Arabidopsis thaliana: one gene and its partners. The protein of the gene in region 2 interacts with the protein of the main gene of each other region in a pairwise test. Each region holds a gene or a part of one and is shown on either strand. Other genes may lie near its edges. The genes, in order: AT4G05400, PUB14, MPK18 and SAUR9.

What was found.
Region 1: the proteins of PUB14 (region 2) and AT4G05400 interact in a two-hybrid assay, tested with the Arabidopsis thaliana proteins (one large-scale study listed by BioGRID).
Region 3: the proteins of PUB14 (region 2) and MPK18 interact in a two-hybrid assay, tested with the Arabidopsis thaliana proteins (one large-scale study listed by BioGRID).
Region 4: the proteins of PUB14 (region 2) and SAUR9 interact in a two-hybrid assay, tested with the Arabidopsis thaliana proteins (one large-scale study listed by BioGRID).

Annotation. Positions count from the first base shown.
Region 1 is NC_003075.7:2,739,514-2,743,505, forward strand, and holds AT4G05400 (copper ion binding protein), read left to right. Parts: upstream 1-1,646; 5' UTR 1,647-1,742; coding exon 1,743-2,495; 3' UTR 2,496-2,508; intron 2,509-2,644; 3' UTR 2,645-2,686; intron 2,687-2,832; exon of another isoform or gene 2,833-3,228; 3' UTR 3,229-3,436; downstream 3,437-3,992. Other genes in the region: RFNR1 (root FNR 1), read right to left, coding at 1-127, 241-576, 808-861, 944-970; YAO (Transducin/WD40 repeat-like superfamily protein), read right to left, coding at 3,716-3,793, 3,908-3,973.
Region 2 is NC_003074.8:20,319,306-20,324,521, forward strand, and holds PUB14 (plant U-box 14), read left to right. Parts: upstream 1-2,047; 5' UTR 2,048-2,218; coding exon 2,219-2,500; intron 2,501-2,746; coding exon 2,747-2,863; intron 2,864-2,951; coding exon 2,952-3,365; intron 3,366-3,457; coding exon 3,458-4,543; 3' UTR 4,544-4,715; downstream 4,716-5,216. Other genes in the region: ARA6 (Ras-related small GTP-binding family protein), read left to right, coding at 69-152, 295-389, 486-591, 905-994, 1,099-1,185, 1,436-1,477; ATVPS33 (Sec1/munc18-like (SM) proteins superfamily), read right to left, coding at 4,981-5,070, 5,163-5,216. UniProt on the Arabidopsis thaliana protein: Functions as an E3 ubiquitin ligase with specific E2 ubiquitin-conjugating enzymes. Undergoes auto-ubiquitination.
Region 3 is NC_003070.9:19,969,780-19,976,185, forward strand, and holds MPK18 (mitogen-activated protein kinase 18), read right to left. Parts: upstream 4,615-6,406; 5' UTR 4,380-4,614; coding exon 4,356-4,379; intron 4,148-4,355; coding exon 3,739-4,147; intron 3,643-3,738; coding exon 3,515-3,642; intron 3,425-3,514; coding exon 3,365-3,424; intron 3,029-3,364; coding exon 2,879-3,028; intron 2,791-2,878; coding exon 2,635-2,790; intron 2,516-2,634; coding exon 2,304-2,515; intron 2,170-2,303; coding exon 2,068-2,169; intron 1,862-2,067; coding exon 1,686-1,861; intron 1,613-1,685; coding exon 1,182-1,612; 3' UTR 555-1,181; downstream 1-554. UniProt on the Arabidopsis thaliana protein: Mitogen-activated protein kinase (MAPK) that is specifically regulated by PHS1 and MAPKKK20 and mediates signaling that regulates cortical microtubule functions, maybe through regulation of microtubule dynamic instability.
Region 4 is NC_003075.7:17,088,166-17,091,374, forward strand, and holds SAUR9 (SAUR-like auxin-responsive protein family), read left to right. Parts: upstream 1-1,768; 5' UTR 1,769-1,865; coding exon 1,866-2,180; 3' UTR 2,181-2,708; downstream 2,709-3,209. UniProt on the Arabidopsis thaliana protein: Provide a mechanistic link between auxin and plasma membrane H(+)-ATPases (PM H(+)-ATPases, e.g.

The DNA of each region.
Region 1 (3,992 bases), on a different chromosome or scaffold from region 2:
CATAGTAAATAGCTCGACGGACACATAGACTAGCTGTTTTGCCATCAAAAGAATCTCCATACCGTGTTGATGCAATCGAATAAAGGCGAACGTTATGAGGTGCACCAGGTTTCTTGGGATTCTCACCCTACGAGTCAAGAATAGAGCACATATAATCAGATATGTTACCAAATCTGAGAGACCAAATCATTTATCAGCAAAAGGCAATGCGTTATGAGCAATAGAGTTAAAATCACTTACAGGAGGAATGACTCCATAGCTTTGTCCTTCCCAGTAAGGAACATTACCATCATGATCAATAACAATGTGGCAAGTCTCTCCAGGTGCTTGTGGACCAACAATTCTCTCAACCGAAACAATAGTTGCAGTATAAGGCTCCTTAGGCCTAAACAAGTTTAAGGGAGTCTCTTTGGGATCTTCAAGTTCTAGAGGAGTAACCAAGACTTTGGATTTGCTTGATTGCTGAAGTGACATGCATATTGTGGACCTTTTTTTCACACCTAAGCTTCTAGATTTCGAATCTAGTCTCAGCAGAGGAGGACCCCATGACTTATCAGTGAAGCTTATACTTTGAACCTGAGGTACAAAATAATTGAGATTCAATATCATTGCTCAAGAGTTGCAAAATCCAGTTTTTTGTAATCTTCTACTTGTAAAGACTATACCTTTCAATACCAAATTCACAACAAGTCTACATCAGAACTAAACAACACAATAAGAAAACCAAAAGACAAAAACTTTGAGGACCATGTAATCATCTCAACGACAAAGATCGGTAATCTAGTGATCTAGATCGTTTTTGCTCACCTTAATCATAGATCGGCTCGACCCATCAATTCTAGTTGGAAGTGCAACGGACATCTAAAATCAAAAACCAAACTTTCATTAAATCCGAAACTTAATCTCAGGAACCAAAAAGGTTTAGAATGGTAAAAATGAAAACCTGAGAAGGAGTAGTTGAGAGAGCCATAGCAATGGAGAAAAGAGACGATAATTCTCCAGATGAATATTAATAATTGATCTCACAATCGAGAGGAAAAAAATGATTTGAGGAACAAAAGAAACAGAGGATGATTCTGGGTTTATAGTAAGAAGGTGAGGGGAAGAAGAAGATCCTTTCAAGGCCCAGAAGAGACAACAACAGAGCAGCCCATACTGACTGCAAATTTCTCAACTTTTTTTTGGCTCTCGAGAGATCTTAGTGGACAAATTGCTTTTTGTCTGTGTTGGATCTTCTTTACTTTTCACCACGTTCTTTGTATTTTACTTGTATTTGGTACTTGGAGGTTACAGTTTCCAAAGCCAAATTCGTTGTTAATAGTGAGAAATTTAACAAGTTGCATGAGACTGAATTCAGCAAATTTCTTCTCAGTTCTGGAAAAGTAAAATCGAATTTGTTTTCAGAAAGAAGCTTCGGTTATGTGGTGGTAAGCCGAAACAATAACCAAAAATTAAATCGAATTGAACCAAATCAATTCAAAATTAACGTCGGTTCTCATTCGGTATACAAAGAAATGGAAAACCGAACCAAGAAACCAAATTGGAGTTTTCTAAAAGACAAGAAAACCCTCGGTTTAAGCTGAATTTACAGTTTTGTGACATCGTGATTTATTTAACTTGATGTAAAACGACGTCGTTAGTTCAGTGTTCTTCTTCCACAGTCGAGAGTCGAAAACCCTAATCTCTGTACTCAAGCAACATTTTCAGACGAAAGCAATCAGAAACTCAGGTGAATCAGAAGCATGATTCGAGTTACGAAACCAAAAGCGATCATCGAATCACTGAGTTACCATCTTATCCAAAGATGCTCCGCAAGTGGAACTCCTAAAGGAAAAGCAAAGCTGAAGACAGGTCAGCCATTGAAGCGTAACAAACTCTCCATCAAGAAAGGTGGTGGCGGCGGCGGAGCACCTGTTGAAGGAGAGGAAGCAGTTAAAGGAAAAGGTAGAATTTCCGATGAGAAGCAGAAACTCTACGAGCAATGCTTAAACGCTCCTTGTCCTGTTCGCTACTTGACCCCCCAAGAGATCGAGCGTGAGGCGCAACGTGAGAAGCTAGGTTTGATTAGTAAAGAGAAGCAACGAGATATGGAGATCCAGAAGAAAGGAGGAGCTGCTTCAATGGGAGTCACCGATGAGCCGATGCGAATTGGGACGCCAGGTTTGGATTACATTTCGTTAGGGATTTTTGAAGCTGAGGAATTGCCTAAGTATAAGCTTACGGAAGAAGATGGAGAGAGACTTGCGAAGGAGTATAGTAAAGTGTTGATGAGAGAGCATAGAGAGCGTCGTGCAGCTGAAACTGCGCTTTTGAATTTGAAGAAATCTGCTATTGAGGCATTGCCGGAGAATCTGAAGAAGGCGGCGTTAGAGCCTGATTTGACACCGTTTCCGGCGAATCGAGGTATGGCTACTCTTACACCGCCTATTGAAGGGTATCTTGAGAAGGTTATGGATGCAGCTAAGAAGAGTTCAAGTAAAGAGAAGTTGAGATGATTTCGTTTAAAAGGTTAGAGATTTTGTCTTATCTCTTGCTTTTGCTTTGGAGATGAGCTTTGAATGCTTGTGTTTCGAACAATGGAATGATTCAGGATTTAAGAATGATGGTTAGTAGTTTACTGAGTCTTGGGTTTACTTTGTTGTAGAAAGTGTCTGAAATAAAGAGAAGTTGAGATGAGTCAATAAAGGTTAGAGATTTTTGTCTTATGCTTATCGTTTTCTCTTGTTTCTGATTTGGATATGAGATTTAACAGTTTGTTTTTCGAACAATGGAATGATTCAGGGTTTAGGATTGATGGTTGGTAGTATTGATCTCTGATGTCAAAGCTGTGTTCTTGGGTTTACTTTGTTGTAGAAAATATCTCAAAACTGATGGTTAGCTAGATTTCAGGTAGTATGATACTTATTGGTTAGTTTGAGATCGAGTTATATGCATATTAGCAAATAAGTGAATGAGAATCACTCACTTGTACATGAGTTAGTGTTTGCAATGTTAAAATGGAAACTTTTGGAAGCATGACCTTCCTCTGGAACTTCTCTGCATATAGGCTCGAGTCTTTGGATTATTATGTATCATTTTCGTTTTTTTTGCAGGATATGTTCTTGTTTAGTTATTCTTTCAATGCTGTTTGCATTTTTCTTGTTTCAAGTCTTCATTTTGTGGTATTCTATGTATGTTTTGGATATTTGGAACTTTCTTATCAATTCTCTGCTGGTTTTTCTTATCCAGTTGAAGCTATTAGTCAGAATGGAGCAGCAACGAGACCAAGAGACATCAAGAAATTGTCTCTAGGGATTCTAAGCTTGACTTAAGAGAATTCATTCAAGTAGTAGGCTCTTGTCTTTTTTGTTTGGAAAAGCAATCTTCTTTTCGCCGGATAAATTACGATCAAGTCTGTGTTCACTATGGATCTTGGTTTAATAATTTGCCTTTTCATATACTTATCTTCAACATTTGGGAAAACGAAACAAAAAGCTTTACTGAGAGAATGAAAAAATTGGGAACTGTTATCCTCTTTGATTCTTCAGAGCCTCAAAATGATAAGTTCTTATCTCTCGTATTAAGAAAAAATGGTACAAGGAACAAACAAAAAAGGGAGCAAAAACTTCAAGAGCTACAAGGAAATGTAATCCCTATATGACTTGCGATTAGATCTTTGGCTTTTTAGCAACTCAAAACTATCCATAACAACGCTTCATTTATCCCAATGAAATACTTATGCCAGTCTTAAGGGATGTATTGCGACACCATTTTGCGCAGATTTTAAGCATCCCCATCTTCCAAATCGAGTTTCCTGCCATGTCGATTTCACAAAACACGATCAGTTTTGAGATTAGCAATCACACAGACAAGAGGACAAAGATAGAAAAAAAGAAGAGGGAAGAGAACATAAGAGATGATCACATACCTGTCCAACACCGGCAATCAGAAATTTACCCGATTTTGCAAAAGCCAAAGAGTTGACAAATCCAGTCTGTAAGATCAAACAAGGC
Region 2 (5,216 bases):
AGTGTGGTATAATTGGTTTCAACTTTGCGTAAGACATACCACTAACTTTTGGATTCACTTGATTGCAGTTAGTTCTATTAGGAGACTCTGGTGTTGGTAAAAGTTGTATTGTCCTTCGATTTGTACGTGGTCAGTTTGACGCTACATCTAAGGTAAGTAAAGCCTTGTTATCTAATTGTCTTTATTGACCATCTGACACCTTTTTAGAACACCATGCTCTGATGTGAGTGAATATTAGACTATTAGAGTATACTTATCTGCCACTAGATCTCAAGACTACTAGCTATGTATCAGGTAACTGTTGGAGCCTCGTTCTTGTCCCAAACTATAGCATTGCAAGACTCTACCACAGTGAAGTTTGAAATATGGGATACAGCAGGACAGGAGAGGTATTAAACCCTTCATGCAGATTTGTATTGCTTATTTTATTAGATAAACGCTTTGCAAACTTACTAGGATTTAACCTGCATTCACTTTATTTTTAGGTATTCTGCTCTTGCACCACTATACTACCGTGGAGCTGGAGTTGCTGTTATTGTGTATGATATAACAAGCCCTGAATCGTTCAAGAAAGCACAGTATTGGGTTAAGGTATGTTTTCAGGGGGTTCAAAAGGTTCCATTTCGTTCATGTTTCTAGGATTCGTGCAATAGCTTCCGAGCTATATCTTTACCAGGACTGAAAATTAGAGTTACAGACAGTCATATAGCCAACAGCACTCCTGTCTGTGTATATAATGGGTATCATTTAGTTGGGCAACTGGTTTACTTCTCTGACATTTTTGTTCCATTAATTTGCACTCGTTGCTACCATGAAGCCATTTGGCACAACTCCGTGCAGGAAAGATATCAACATTATATTGAATCTAGTGCTATTGTTTTACCCCTGCCCATAAATCTAACAGGAACTGCAAAAGCATGGAAGCCCAGATATTGTTATGGCTCTGGTTGGTAACAAAGCTGATCTACATGAAAAAAGAGAAGTACCTACTGAGGTGAGTTTGCGTAAACGTCTTCATCTAGATTCCGTAGCGCATTTTGTTGTCACTTTCATTGTCCTTGCTTCTTCAGTGGTATCACATTTTCAATTTCTTAACAGGATGGAATGGAGCTTGCAGAGAAGAACGGCATGTTCTTCATTGAGACGTCAGCCAAGACAGCCGATAACATAAATCAACTGTTTGAGGTGTGCACTTCTTTCTTGCCTCTGATTTATGATCGATTTTCTTGTCCTCTGCATTTATTGAGATCTTATTATCCGTTTCTTTCATTGCTTTGGAATTGGAGGATGGAAAAGTGATAGGCAGTGATATGCAGCTAGATATGAGATTTAATTTCTTGTAGTTTGTGGAGGATAATAGTTTTGGATGCAGAAAGATGGATTAATACGAAGTATATGAGATTTTAACTTGTTGTAGTGTACACATGTCTGATAGGAAATTGGCAAGAGGCTACCTCGTCCTGCTCCTTCGTCATGATTGGAGTGTTGAATCATCTCATCTTCAGCCATGTCTTCAGACTACTAATCTTTCCATACTTTTTAATGTAATGTTTCAAAACAATATTTCTCTATCTGTTAAGTCAAGTGTGTTGTATAATGTGAAGATTTGAGTTTGAAACTGGGGATATTACGAACCTCAAAAGTGGAAACCCAAGTTATATCAAGCAATGGATCATCAGTACATATTTTAGTGGGATTCATCAGAAGTAGAGAAGAGTAAAGCTTCATTCAAATGATTCAATGCATGTATAGTTTGTGGGAGAGACTATTGCAGCCAATTCTAACAAAACCTAAATCAAGAAATTATTTGACAATTTCAAAGAGACTAACAAACAGGTAGAGAAATCCATTATACAAAGGATTTGACTTTTGATGATTTCAGATGCAAATACAAACTTAAAAACTTTATATATTTGTATTGGTCAACCTTAATATCATAAATTTATAGTTGAGGCAATAAATAAATATGAAAATCTAAATGCAATGTTTAAATATTAAAATTTAACGGCAAAATAAAATAGAAAAAATTATGATTGGTCTGAAAATGGACAAAATGAGACTTTTCATGTCCAAATAGGTGTTTATTGTCACGTTGATGAGAAGACTATTTCGTTCCATAGCATTTCTGTTCCTCCTCTTGGTTTTTTGGGTTTCTTCTTCCTCGTCTTGGTTTCGTTAAAACCCTTTTGAAGCCCTCTGGAACAGTAAAATCTGAGGGATGGGATTAACGAATTGTTGTTCCCACGAGGAGCTAATGAGTCGACTCGTTGACTCCGTTAAAGAAATATCAGGGTTTTCATCTTCAAGGGGTTTTATTGGGAAGATCCAAGGCGATCTTGTTCGTAGGATCACGCTTCTCAGCCCTTTCTTCGAGGAATTGATTGACGTCAATGTTGAATTGAAAAAGGATCAGATTACAGGGTTTGAGGCTATGAGAATCGCTCTTGATTCAAGTCTTGAGCTTTTTCGATCGGTTAATGGAGGAAGCAAGCTTTTTCAGGTTACTCATTTACTTGCTCTGTTTTATTTGTATTTATATCTTTGGTAGCTGGCAAAAGTTGGCAATTTCCTTTGTTTTCTCTTCGAGGGTTTAAGATTTTGGTGTTTAGGGTTTTGTTGTTTGTCTTTGTCTTCTTTAACAATATCAAGAATTTGGGTTTTGTCTTGTTTCTCTTATTTTGGGATGAATCAAATTGAGTCTGATAACAAGAAGTTGAGACCTTTTTCGTGTTCTCTCTGCTGGCAGCTTTTCGATAGAGATTCTCTTGTGGAGAAGTTCCGTGACATGACAGTGGAGATAGAAGCAGCGTTAAGTCAGATTCCTTATGAGAAGATTGAGGTATCAGAGGAAGTCAGAGAACAGGTACTTCTCAATGCATTGATTTAAGGAGGGCTATATTTTTCTGTTGATTAAAATCTGAATTCTAATGATAAGCTCTCTGAATTTGTAGGTTCAGCTTCTGCATTTTCAGTTCAAGAGAGCAAAAGAAAGATGGGAGGAGTCTGATCTACAGCTTAGCCATGATCTAGCTATGGCAGAGAATGTGATGGATCCTGACCCTATAATCCTCAAAAGACTTTCACAAGAGCTCCAACTTACTACCATTGATGAGCTGAAGAAAGAATCGCATGCGATACATGAGTATTTTCTTTCATATGATGGAGATCCTGATGACTGTTTCGAGAGGATGTCTTCACTTCTTAAAAACCTGGTAGACTTTGTAACAATGGAAAGTTCAGACCCTGATCCATCCACTGGCAGCAGAATCGTTTCGAGACATCGTTCTCCTGTTATACCAGAGTATTTTCGGTGTCCGATATCACTTGAACTGATGAAGGATCCTGTTATCGTCTCCACTGGACAGGTCTGGCTTTGCAAGTTTCGTTGTGCATTGTAGTGAATTTGATTATTAAACTTGTGTATTTGTTGTTATAGCTGAATTTTTCGACCTTGCAGACATATGAAAGATCATCAATTCAGAAGTGGCTTGATGCTGGTCATAAAACATGTCCGAAATCTCAGGAGACACTTTTACATGCTGGATTAACCCCTAATTATGTGTTAAAGAGTCTCATTGCTTTGTGGTGTGAAAGCAACGGCATTGAGCTACCGCAAAATCAAGGGAGCTGTAGAACCACAAAAATAGGAGGAAGCAGCTCTTCAGATTGTGATCGAACATTTGTCCTTTCCTTGTTAGAGAAATTGGCCAACGGTACTACAGAACAGCAAAGAGCTGCAGCTGGAGAATTAAGGTTACTAGCCAAGAGGAACGTGGATAACAGAGTTTGTATCGCTGAGGCTGGAGCCATACCACTCCTTGTAGAGCTTCTATCCTCACCAGATCCTCGGACTCAGGAACATTCTGTGACAGCTCTTCTGAATCTTTCCATAAATGAAGGGAACAAAGGAGCCATTGTTGATGCAGGAGCCATAACGGATATAGTAGAAGTCCTAAAGAACGGAAGCATGGAAGCTAGAGAGAACGCTGCTGCAACCCTTTTCAGTTTATCTGTTATAGATGAAAACAAAGTGGCAATAGGTGCTGCTGGAGCTATCCAAGCACTTATAAGCTTGCTTGAGGAAGGAACCCGAAGAGGCAAAAAAGATGCTGCTACAGCGATTTTCAACTTATGCATATACCAGGGGAACAAATCAAGGGCGGTTAAAGGCGGTATTGTTGACCCTCTGACCAGATTACTGAAAGATGCAGGTGGCGGAATGGTGGATGAGGCTCTGGCCATTTTAGCAATTCTTTCAACTAACCAAGAAGGGAAAACAGCGATAGCTGAAGCAGAATCTATCCCGGTTTTGGTTGAGATTATAAGGACAGGGTCACCAAGGAACCGGGAAAATGCTGCAGCAATACTTTGGTATCTATGTATTGGGAATATAGAAAGGCTAAATGTAGCAAGAGAGGTTGGTGCAGATGTGGCCTTGAAGGAACTTACTGAGAATGGCACTGATAGAGCAAAGAGGAAAGCTGCGAGCTTGTTGGAGCTTATTCAGCAAACCGAAGGTGTTGCAGTAACTACTGTTCCATGAAAGCCTCGCTCTTTTGGAATGTTATTTGTTTCAGTGTAGATTATATGTATAGGAACCTTTGGTTTGAGTCTGACATAAGAATCTTATGTAATGATGTTATATGTAATTTTCGACTCAGAGTTGTGTATATCTATTTGATATTTAAAAGTAAAAGTAACCCTATTATTTACTGTTTCACACTCTCGATTTGCTTGAGAATTAGGGAGAAGTAAAGCCGTATATAACTAGCAGAAGTTGAAGTGAAAGGTTGTACCAAGAAAACATTATTGAATTTGTATAATCACGCTGTATCTCAACCATTTAATATACACATACACATACGCATACCATTCACTCTGCAACCACAATGATCCAGAAAAATAAACAAAGACATACAAAAAATGAATTAATAAACACACTCGAAAGAGAAAAGATGAACATAACGCTCAGTTTACGGATCAGCCTAGTTTTTCCATGAATGTTTCTATCAACGTTGCGCCGTTGACGATTTTTGTTGTGGCAACAATCAAATCATAAGCCATTCCTTCCTGATAAAATTTTATGCAGAAGCAAGAATGGAGGATTCAGCGGACAAAAAGAGTGTTTTTTTTATGGTAAACTTTTGAAGTTTGATATATACCTTAGAGGCGAGATACCGTAAAGCAGAGATTTCAGCAAATGTTACACCTCCAAT
Region 3 (6,406 bases), on a different chromosome or scaffold from region 2:
TTGTTTTTCAACATAAATGTGAGTCTATTTATTAGCTCTCTACTAAATTAGGACATTTCAGATCAATTAAAATAGAATGAAATTTTGATAATTAATTAAGTATGTGTATAAAGAAAGAAATAAATATATTGCATCGTTTTCCAAATTATAGTGATTGACGAATAAAATATGATTTTCCTTATTTTAGAAGGTTAATCGTGGTATTTAATTAAAACACCTGGTTTATTTATGATATAACGTAGACATGTCAGTTCAAATATTTAATTAGTTGATTACAAAGATAAGTACATGTCAACCTAAAATTTAATATCATCATTTCAACCCAAAAAAAACCTGAGATTATATATAACGGATCATTCAATGCAAGATGCTTAATGCCACCGTCACGTAACGAAATAATTGATTTGCTTCCTTTTTGGTTAATAAATATTAAATAGATCAAATGTGTACACTTTCTCATGACTTGTTAAATTGAGAAAGTGATATTCGTTATGATTAATGGACGCCTAATATTACCTTTAATGGGCTAAACTCAGGCCTACAAACTTGGCGGGTAAATTATAAACATTTCAACGGCGTCAAAATTTCGAAGTTAAGGCGAATTTCATTGTTAACCATGATGAGTCTTGAGGTCAAGAGCATTCCTTTTTTTCATTGGCAAGTTTTTTTTTTTCTTTTTGTAACCATTGAATAAAATTGACTAATTATATAATCTGAGAAAGAGTGGTTTACAGAAGAAAAATCTAAGGACCAATGTTTTATTTTGTTACTTCCACATTCTTCGGCATAATGTTGTCTATATTAACCAATCAAGACCATATTTTCCAATAACCAAAGAGATTCCTTTTTTTGTTGAAGAACAATAAAGACTAATGGGACCGATTAAGAAGTTTAAGAAGTATATAATCACCACGATATTCTTCTCTACGGTGAACTACGCTTATGGCAAATTCAAAGATTATGGAGCCAACAAGATAACCGAAACAATAACCGGGACTGACCCGCAATCAGACTAATCCAAGGCGATCTTGTTCTGGAGAGTTACAACTAAATAAAAGTCTTTCTTATATCATTGCAACGTAGTTCATATCAGAGCCTGGACTGAATAATACTTACATAAAAACTAGAGAATCACCTGGTGGAGGAAGATGTGGTGGTTAAAGATCTGTCTGAAGTGTTGTCTATGATGCTGCGCTGTAACTAATTGTGCCTATGTTCCGGTGTGCTGCTACTGCAACCGCTGCAGCTCCTGCTGGACCAAACTGTGATTGTGCCTGCAACAGCTTAGCATCAATGGCCATATGTGTGTTGTTGTTTAATTGATCTGTCTTCGGGAGCTGTGGTTGAAAGTAAGGGTTTGGGTGGTTCATAGTCTCAACGTCTGCTTGGTTAGTTGTAGCAGCTGGTGGCTCAGTGGGACTGAATTGGTGGACAGGATTTTGTGGCTTTGGTGGAAAAGACGAAGCTTCTATGTTGCGGTTCTCCGGGTTTGTCATGGTGTTTGGTCGGAAGTAGCAATGAGGAGATGAAACCGCGCTTCTGAAATAAGCTTCTTTGAGGTTCCTGCCATTCTCATAAGATACAGATGATTCCACAACACGACCTGGTCTACCTGTAAAACATAGGGTGAAAGTTAGTTGAAGTTTCTAACTTTAGGAAATAATATTTGGAGATATGATTGAGACCTGATGGTGGAACTCTTGGTGGAGGTCCGATGGATTTAGTAGGATACGCGGAAGTTGATGGATGTCCTGCAGAAGAAGCTCCATTTTTTGAAGGCTCGAAAGAAACACGTCTACTATCTGTTGCACCCAAGTTGGGTTGCGAGGTGGAATGGACTACAGTTGAGTGAACCGTAGACCTGTGGAAAACAATCATATCTATTAGAATTAGAAGAGTAGAGAACATATGAAAGTTTTTAGAATTAGAAGAGTAGAGAACATATGAAAGTTTGCTTGAGGCCTTCGACCATATGCTTCACAAATGCTAAGCAGTAGCAGAAGAAAGAACAAAAGAATAAGCATATTCCCTACAGTCGACTTGTATATAAAGAATGAGAAAACATACCGCGGTAGTGATGCGTGTTTCCTCTCGAGAGGTATGACCGGCCCATTTCTACTGCTATTTTCCTCTAAGTAAGTGAACTGCTGTCTAAGATGTCCAATGGCGCTGCAAGTGAAAAAGTAAAAACATGAATAAAAAGCCAGGCAGAGGTACGCGATTGGACATAAATTCAACGGGAGAAAGAAACAAGAAATGTTTCATTTGGTAAATAATAATAAAAGGTAGGAAGAAATTCAAACCTAGGATATACAAAATTAGACCCCTCAGATCCGCTCATATAGTCCTTGAGCAACTGAGGATGGTACTCCAGTATTTCTCTGTATATTAGTTCTCTAATGTCGTCCTTTGTCAACCTTCGCCTCTCAAATTCAAACTCCATTTTCGAGATTTGCTGACTTGAAGGTTCTCTTTCAATCTTAGAAAGACCCTTGAAGTAAGGATCAGCTAATGCCTATCGAAAAACAAAAAGATAGCAAAGTAAGCAGAGAGATACACACAAGACGCAAGGCAGCTTTACAAAGAGGACCGAAGAAGAATCTAATTACAAAGTGAAAAAGACAGAAAAGAGACCTCTGCAGGAGTCGGTCGATCCTTTGGATCGAAAGCCAACAGCCTCTGCAAAAGACGGAGTGCTAATGGATCTGCTTTGGAAAATTTTTGCGAGAAGGTGACAGGATTTTTCTTCCTCATTTCAGTCAAGTATTTTCTAGCTTTATCATTACGAACCTGCATCAGAGAAATAAATGTTTAGCTATACAGTTCAATATATATACGTACTCCAGAAATTAATGTGAAGAAGAAAAACGGATCATACTCCAGAAATTGTTTCTGATTTTGGTGTGCCAAGAAGATCAGTAATCAACTCCAACTGATGGACAACACTTTTTCCCGGAAACAATGGCTTCCCTGTTAGTACCTCTGCAAAGATGCAGCCAATGCTCCAAACGTCGATAGCTGGAGTGTACTGCAGAATAATTTTGACTGTAAATCAGATTATGATGAAAAAACAAAATCCATGAATATGAAGTTGCAGATGCAAAAGAAACCACTCAATGAACATAACCTGATACAAGGTTACCTGATTCATAGATTTTCAACTTCGGGGAGAGTTCAAGTCATCCCTGAACAAGAATTATTTTAATATCCCACTGGGGCACAACTCTATACTTATACAAGTAACATCAAATATCAGCTATTAACACTAATCTGCATATATTCTACACTAAAGAAGACTAATCTGTTCATAAGACCTAAGCATAGCCAATTAGAATGCATAGAAGAAATCCACAGTAACACCTACCTTCGAAAAGAATGATCCACAGAGCTCAGGTGCTCTATACCATCTTGTGGCAACATAGTCCTGCATTGCGATTAAATGAGTCAGAGAGAAAAATCAAACACACAAATTAACGGCTAACAAACAAAAGGTCTCCTCCTCGAGGCTACTAACCGTCCAAAAGACTGTCGTAGGAGTATCATTAAACGCTACTCTAGCCAATCCAAAGTCACAAACTTTCAACTTGCAATTTGCGTTTGCAAGTATATTCTTTGGCTTAAGATCACGGTGATAAACATTAGCTGCATGAACAAAAGGATAACAGTAAGTTACAACCAGAAAAAATACAAAACATGCTGCCAAGATTCACAGGTCTGAAACAATGAAACGAATCACACCTGTATGCATGAACTTTAAAGCACGAAGCATCTGATAAAGGAAAAACTGGTGGTGTTCACGAGTCAAATCATCATTAGCTTTAATAACTTGATGAAGATCTGATTCCATGAGCTCAAACACAACATAGATATCTTTAAACTCTCTCTTAGAAGGAGGCAGCATAATGCTTTTGATCTCCACAATATCAGGATGCCGTAAAAGCCGAAGAAGCTTCACTTCACGGAGAATACGAAGCGCATCAGAAATATGTTCAAAGACATCATTAATCTTCTTAATAGCAACTTTCTCTCCAGTATGTGTATCAATAGCTGCACACACAACTCCATAGCTTCCTTTACCAATAACTTCCAGAATCCTATATCTGTTTGCATCACCATACTCTGTGAAAAACTCCATCTCTTTCGTGCCCTAGTGAATCACAAAAGTAGACAAAACACAAACTTTATCCACACATCTTATTTATGCTCATGCAACAAAACCAAACCTAATTGCAATTGAAAAAGGAAAGATTTTATTTTTTTTGTCTTTAAATTTGTAAAAGGATAAGACTTTATCCTCTGTTTCCCACATTTAGAATCAAAGCATGATTGAGAGAGATAGAGAGCAAGAAGCGAACCTTCTTCACTTGATTTTGTTGCATCTTCTTCTTCAAAATTATCAAAAATCTGGATCGGCTTTTCGAAAAGTAAAAAAAAAAAAAAAACCTAGATTGCTAAGAATCCGAAAACTAGAAGAACTCAAAATCAAGCCCAGTCTGTGAAGAAGACGATACAGAGAAGAGCAAAACCTAGATCCAGCGATCGAAGAAGAAGAAGACGAGAGAGGATTTTAAAAATACCGAATTTGAGATATTTTTTCTAAATTTGAATAAAAATAATTTCTAATTCTAGCAATTTCTCGTGGTACTTATTGCGTACGGGTGTGACAAATCCCAGATAGTGGCAGTTTCGTAGTTTTAGACAACATTTGAGGGTAAAGTAAATATTGGTTTTCTCCCACTGTGGTCTGTGGACGACCTTTTTGGAAAATGACCCAATGGTTTAGACACCTGTTGCTGGACTTGGACCGTTTTATTTTTCTTAAATTCCGATTTTGACCCCTATCTTAATTTTGTTTTGATTCTAACCATTCTTTTTGATAAGTGGTCAATTTAACCCCCACGTGATAGTATTTCTCGTACCACTGAAAGGAATATTATTAACATTATCTCAATTTTGCTTATTATATTCCTTGATTTAAATTTTTAAGATTGAAAAATCTATATACAATTGACTAATTCATATGTAAATAAATATTGTTGAAGGATATTTGTCTTAGATTTTAATTTATTTTGGTAAAGACGATACACGATTAATATATTAGGATAAAATACCATCTTTGATGAACATTTATTCCATGTAAATCAACTAACCTTGAGAAAAAGACCTTCCAAGTGTCAAGTTGTTTGCTTGATACTATGGGATGATAAAAACAAAATCAAAAGAAAAAAAAAAACTGCCATCCTCATTGGTATATGACTTAGTATTTGATAGAAAATAAAATAAAATAAATAGATTAATAATTTTGCAATTCGTGTGAAACTAATATTCACATGTCAATTTACACAATTTGGCTTTTGTATTTATTGAAAAGACCAACATATTTAGTGTCTGGCTCATATTAAAAGTTTATCACAATAGGGGCAAATCCACAAAAAGGTGAAGATTATGATAATATTATAACTGATCTTGATTAAAACAAATCCAACATCTTATTATTCATTTGTATCTGAGGCATTCAAATCCAAAGTTGGTTCATTATCTAAAGTACAAAATATCATAATTTCAAATTATCATACTCCATATAATTTCACACTATACGACGATGTAGGTGGTGCATGTGTCAATTTATTGTCAATATTTTAAGGCGTTATAACTTATAACTAAAGTTGATCCTTTTTGCATATTTCATTGCTTTTCATTTTCTTCTACTTTCGGTTTTAAAATCATAATTTTACTCTCTTTTGACTAAGTGCGCATTTTAAAATAATTATCGGCCAAAGATAAATATAAATGATGGTTGACTGGTTCTATCTATTTAGACCAGGCTCTGCATAATATATATAACCAGCATATCTATTTTTAAAATAGTTTTAATGGTTTTTCAAAATGATATATATAATATTTTGAATTGCAAGTTTAATAATTCGAAGATATATATATATATATATATAATCATGAGTCAGAATTCAACAGAGTGGACACAATATTACCATTCATCACATGAATCATGCTTTTCGTGTATGTATGTTTTAGAGTTTTGACTGGAGGAGCCAAAATATCTCCACCAAGCAGATTTATTTTGTTTGTTTATTTATTTGAGTTACATCTTATTAAAATTCCATGAACCATATATAATGATAGAAGAAAAAAGGGATCACCCATAAATAATGATAATTTGTGCACAACTATATATTATTGTTTTCTTAACTTTTGGTTGCCAACAACTCTATATTATTAGTGCAAATATAATAATGTTGATGAATAAAAGACAATGCATCCTAATAATAAACCAAAATATAATGTGTAAATGTGGTCCAGTGAGAGAAGAAGTTGCATGTGGTAAAGGGCACACACCAAGAAAAGGACTCACTTTGATCAACTTGGCCAAAACAACATAATTTCATTC
Region 4 (3,209 bases), on a different chromosome or scaffold from region 2:
CACAAAGCCAAAGATGAAAATGTTTGATGATGTTGATTGATTCATCACCATTAAAATGATAGGCAAAAAGCAAAAAAAGGAACGAAAAATAAGAAGTTGAATATATAAATGGAAAAAAGTACGTGGAACACAAGGCGTCGGAGGAATGAAATGGGAACTTGCATGGATTTGATACTGTCAATTAAACAAAAGATAGGTTCCAACCTAAGCATTTGTTTTCGTTTTCAGATTTTCACATGGGGACGAAGTTTGCTTAGCTACATCTTTTCCCATATGTTTTTATAAACATATTTCCGATAAACTATTTAGATCATTATATTTTTAGTTACCAAATTAGTTAACCCATCAAATTTTCATATTTTAATCTTCCGTAAATGATATTAATGGTTTGTAAGTTCTAACTCTTTGACTGAATTTTGAAATGACCCCAAAATGTTTGTAGATATACAATTAACGTTCTCAAATTCCGCTGATTTTTCCGCATGGCACTTATTATATATACTGTATTTTTGTCGGTGACCAACATAATGTTAAGTTCCGCTTGGTCAGTAGATATAAAATATAATGTCATATGAACCTCGTAATAACCCGTATATCCTCTCAATGAATTTGGTTAACCAAGAAAATATAAAACTACCAAACTACATTAATCATTTGGTGTTATTTTGTACATCTTAATTTATAGACAAAAAATAAAATAAAAGAATGGGCATTAAAGTGTTGGCAACTCTACTTGTAGCAAAAGACATGTGATCTTGTAGTTGCAAGTACGTACTTTGGTTTATATATCTCTATACTTCGTCCGTAATCCTTTTGTAAACGGACTCAATTTATGACAAAACGGGTATCTAAATCTATTAACGGCCATATGGTATTTTTTGGTTATTTATTCATATATTAGTTGTAATAAAATTGGAAGTTTCAGTAGAGACAAATTCTGAAGAAGAGTTTATAACAAGTGTAGAGAAAACAGACACTACTTGTATTAATTTGTAGAGTTGTGTCTAAATAAAAACACAAAATAGAGACAATGTAGGGTAGTGTTTATATAGTCCCTACCTTATTTATAAGACCCTCCAAAAATTTTATTGTATGCATTCTTTTACATATTTTTGGCCTTTCCCTTATGGCTTGTCTCTAAAACTGCTTTGTTTCCTACATCCCACATGATATTTGCTTTCACATTACATATATAAAAAAGAATATTTTGATGGATTGATATAGTGGTATAGGAAAATTTGGGAGCATTGTTATATCTTTAGATAGTCCTGAGTTTAATTCTTCATTGATGCAAAAAAAAAAAAAAAAAAACTTAGACCATTTGGCTACTCTATCTAGGCCATAATATAACAATTTGGCCTTGTAAGAAAAAACAATAACCCTTGAAAATAGTTGGACGTTGTATTTTTATGTCTTGTGATAAAAGGAAAATGTTCAAATTTTGAAGAGATCATATAAGATAATGTACGAATAAAAACAAGTGTTTGGACATTTATGAAATTTAATAATTATATTTGATGTCATATGTTACGTACTTACGCGGCTTTGATTTGATCACCAAGGAAACACTTCATGTGGTTCTGCATGAATTAGTCGTTGTTGTGTATATAATACATATAACCTAGTCACAAATCATCCAAAAAGTCATAAGTAAACCTAATAAATCTATGTTAAAAGCATATATGAGATTTTTCTTATTAAATTTAATAAACACTTCCAAAATTTTCTCTCTCATTGTGCCCTTAAATACCCCTCCATATTCCTCCCCACCACCTTCACATCCACACCTTTCTTCAAACATACCAAACTCTCTCTCCCTCTTCCCTCTTCTCTCTAGCCAAGTTAGATTTCAATAAGGTCAAATCATGGCGATAAAGAAGTCGAACAAAGCGGCGTTGTCTCAAGCAGCATCTCTAAAGCAAATCTTGAAGAGGTGCTCAAGTCTAGGAAAGAAGAATCAAGGTAATTGCTACTTCAACGACGTGCCAAAAGGTCACTTCCCGGTCTACGTCGGTCAACACCGAAGTCGCTATGTGGTCCCAATCTCGTGGCTAGATCATCATGAGTTCCAGTCACTCCTCCAACTAGCCGAGGAAGAGTTTGGTTTCGAGCACGAGATGGGTCTCACTATCCCTTGTGATGAAGTCGTCTTTCGTTCTCTCATCTCAATGTTCAGATAATACTCGATATCGAGGACTGGTCTTCATTAGCTCAACTGGTCATTCTCTCAAGAAATATTCCCCTTTTAAGGAAGTAAGAGTTTGATCACATTGTCACACTCCAGACTCGGAAGATCAAATCCTCAAAGTTATTACCAAGAAACAAGAAATAAGGAATATATGCAATCTATTATTTAGGTTTTTTTTTTCTTTGCTAAGAAGACGGAAGCAAATGGCGGGGATCGCGTTAAGTATCGACTCAAGATTTGTGGCTATATTAATATACCTAACAGTTTTTTTTAATTAACCACTCTTTTGGGATTTTTTTTTCCTTCTATATATTTTCGGTGCCTTCTTTTATATATTTTATTTTCAAATATTTTGTATATTAGTTTGGATGGAAGACTTTTCCCTCAAGTCAACGTGTATTGTTGACCGTTGGTTCTTGAGAGGAATAGCTAGTTTTATTTGTATTAATTTTTTATTCAAGAATTTTCATTCTAAAACTGTTGTTAATTATTATCTTCTATAAAACCTTCATAAGTTAACTTAACTAGTGTTACAAAATAATGATTGATTAGCAAATAAATTTGGTTTCAATAAAATAAAAACTAAATACAACATATTAAAAAATATTATAAAAAAAACATTCACGGTCTATCCAGTATCAACCATAACTGGCCAAACATCAACGATTTACCATTTGTAGTTGCAATCTTGTTTCTACTTCATCTGATATTTGTAGTTGCAATCTTGTTTCTACTTCATCTGAGCAAAGCGTAATGAAAACTATTTATATTTCGATCTGTAGACTTTAATCGTAAGAAGAAGGAAAAAAACTAATCGTCATGAGAAGACGATAAGTCGATAAGTATGATCCAAAGTCTACAGTAATTTCTGTTTGAGTGGGGTTCTTATTGATAACAATAATTGCTTTTTCGTCGTTTCGTTTTCATGATTTATCATTTGTTCCAATTGCCTCGTTTTTGTTTTACTATATCAAAAACTCATTTTAATTTGGTAAGGCCGCCTTCAAGATTTGTGTCGATA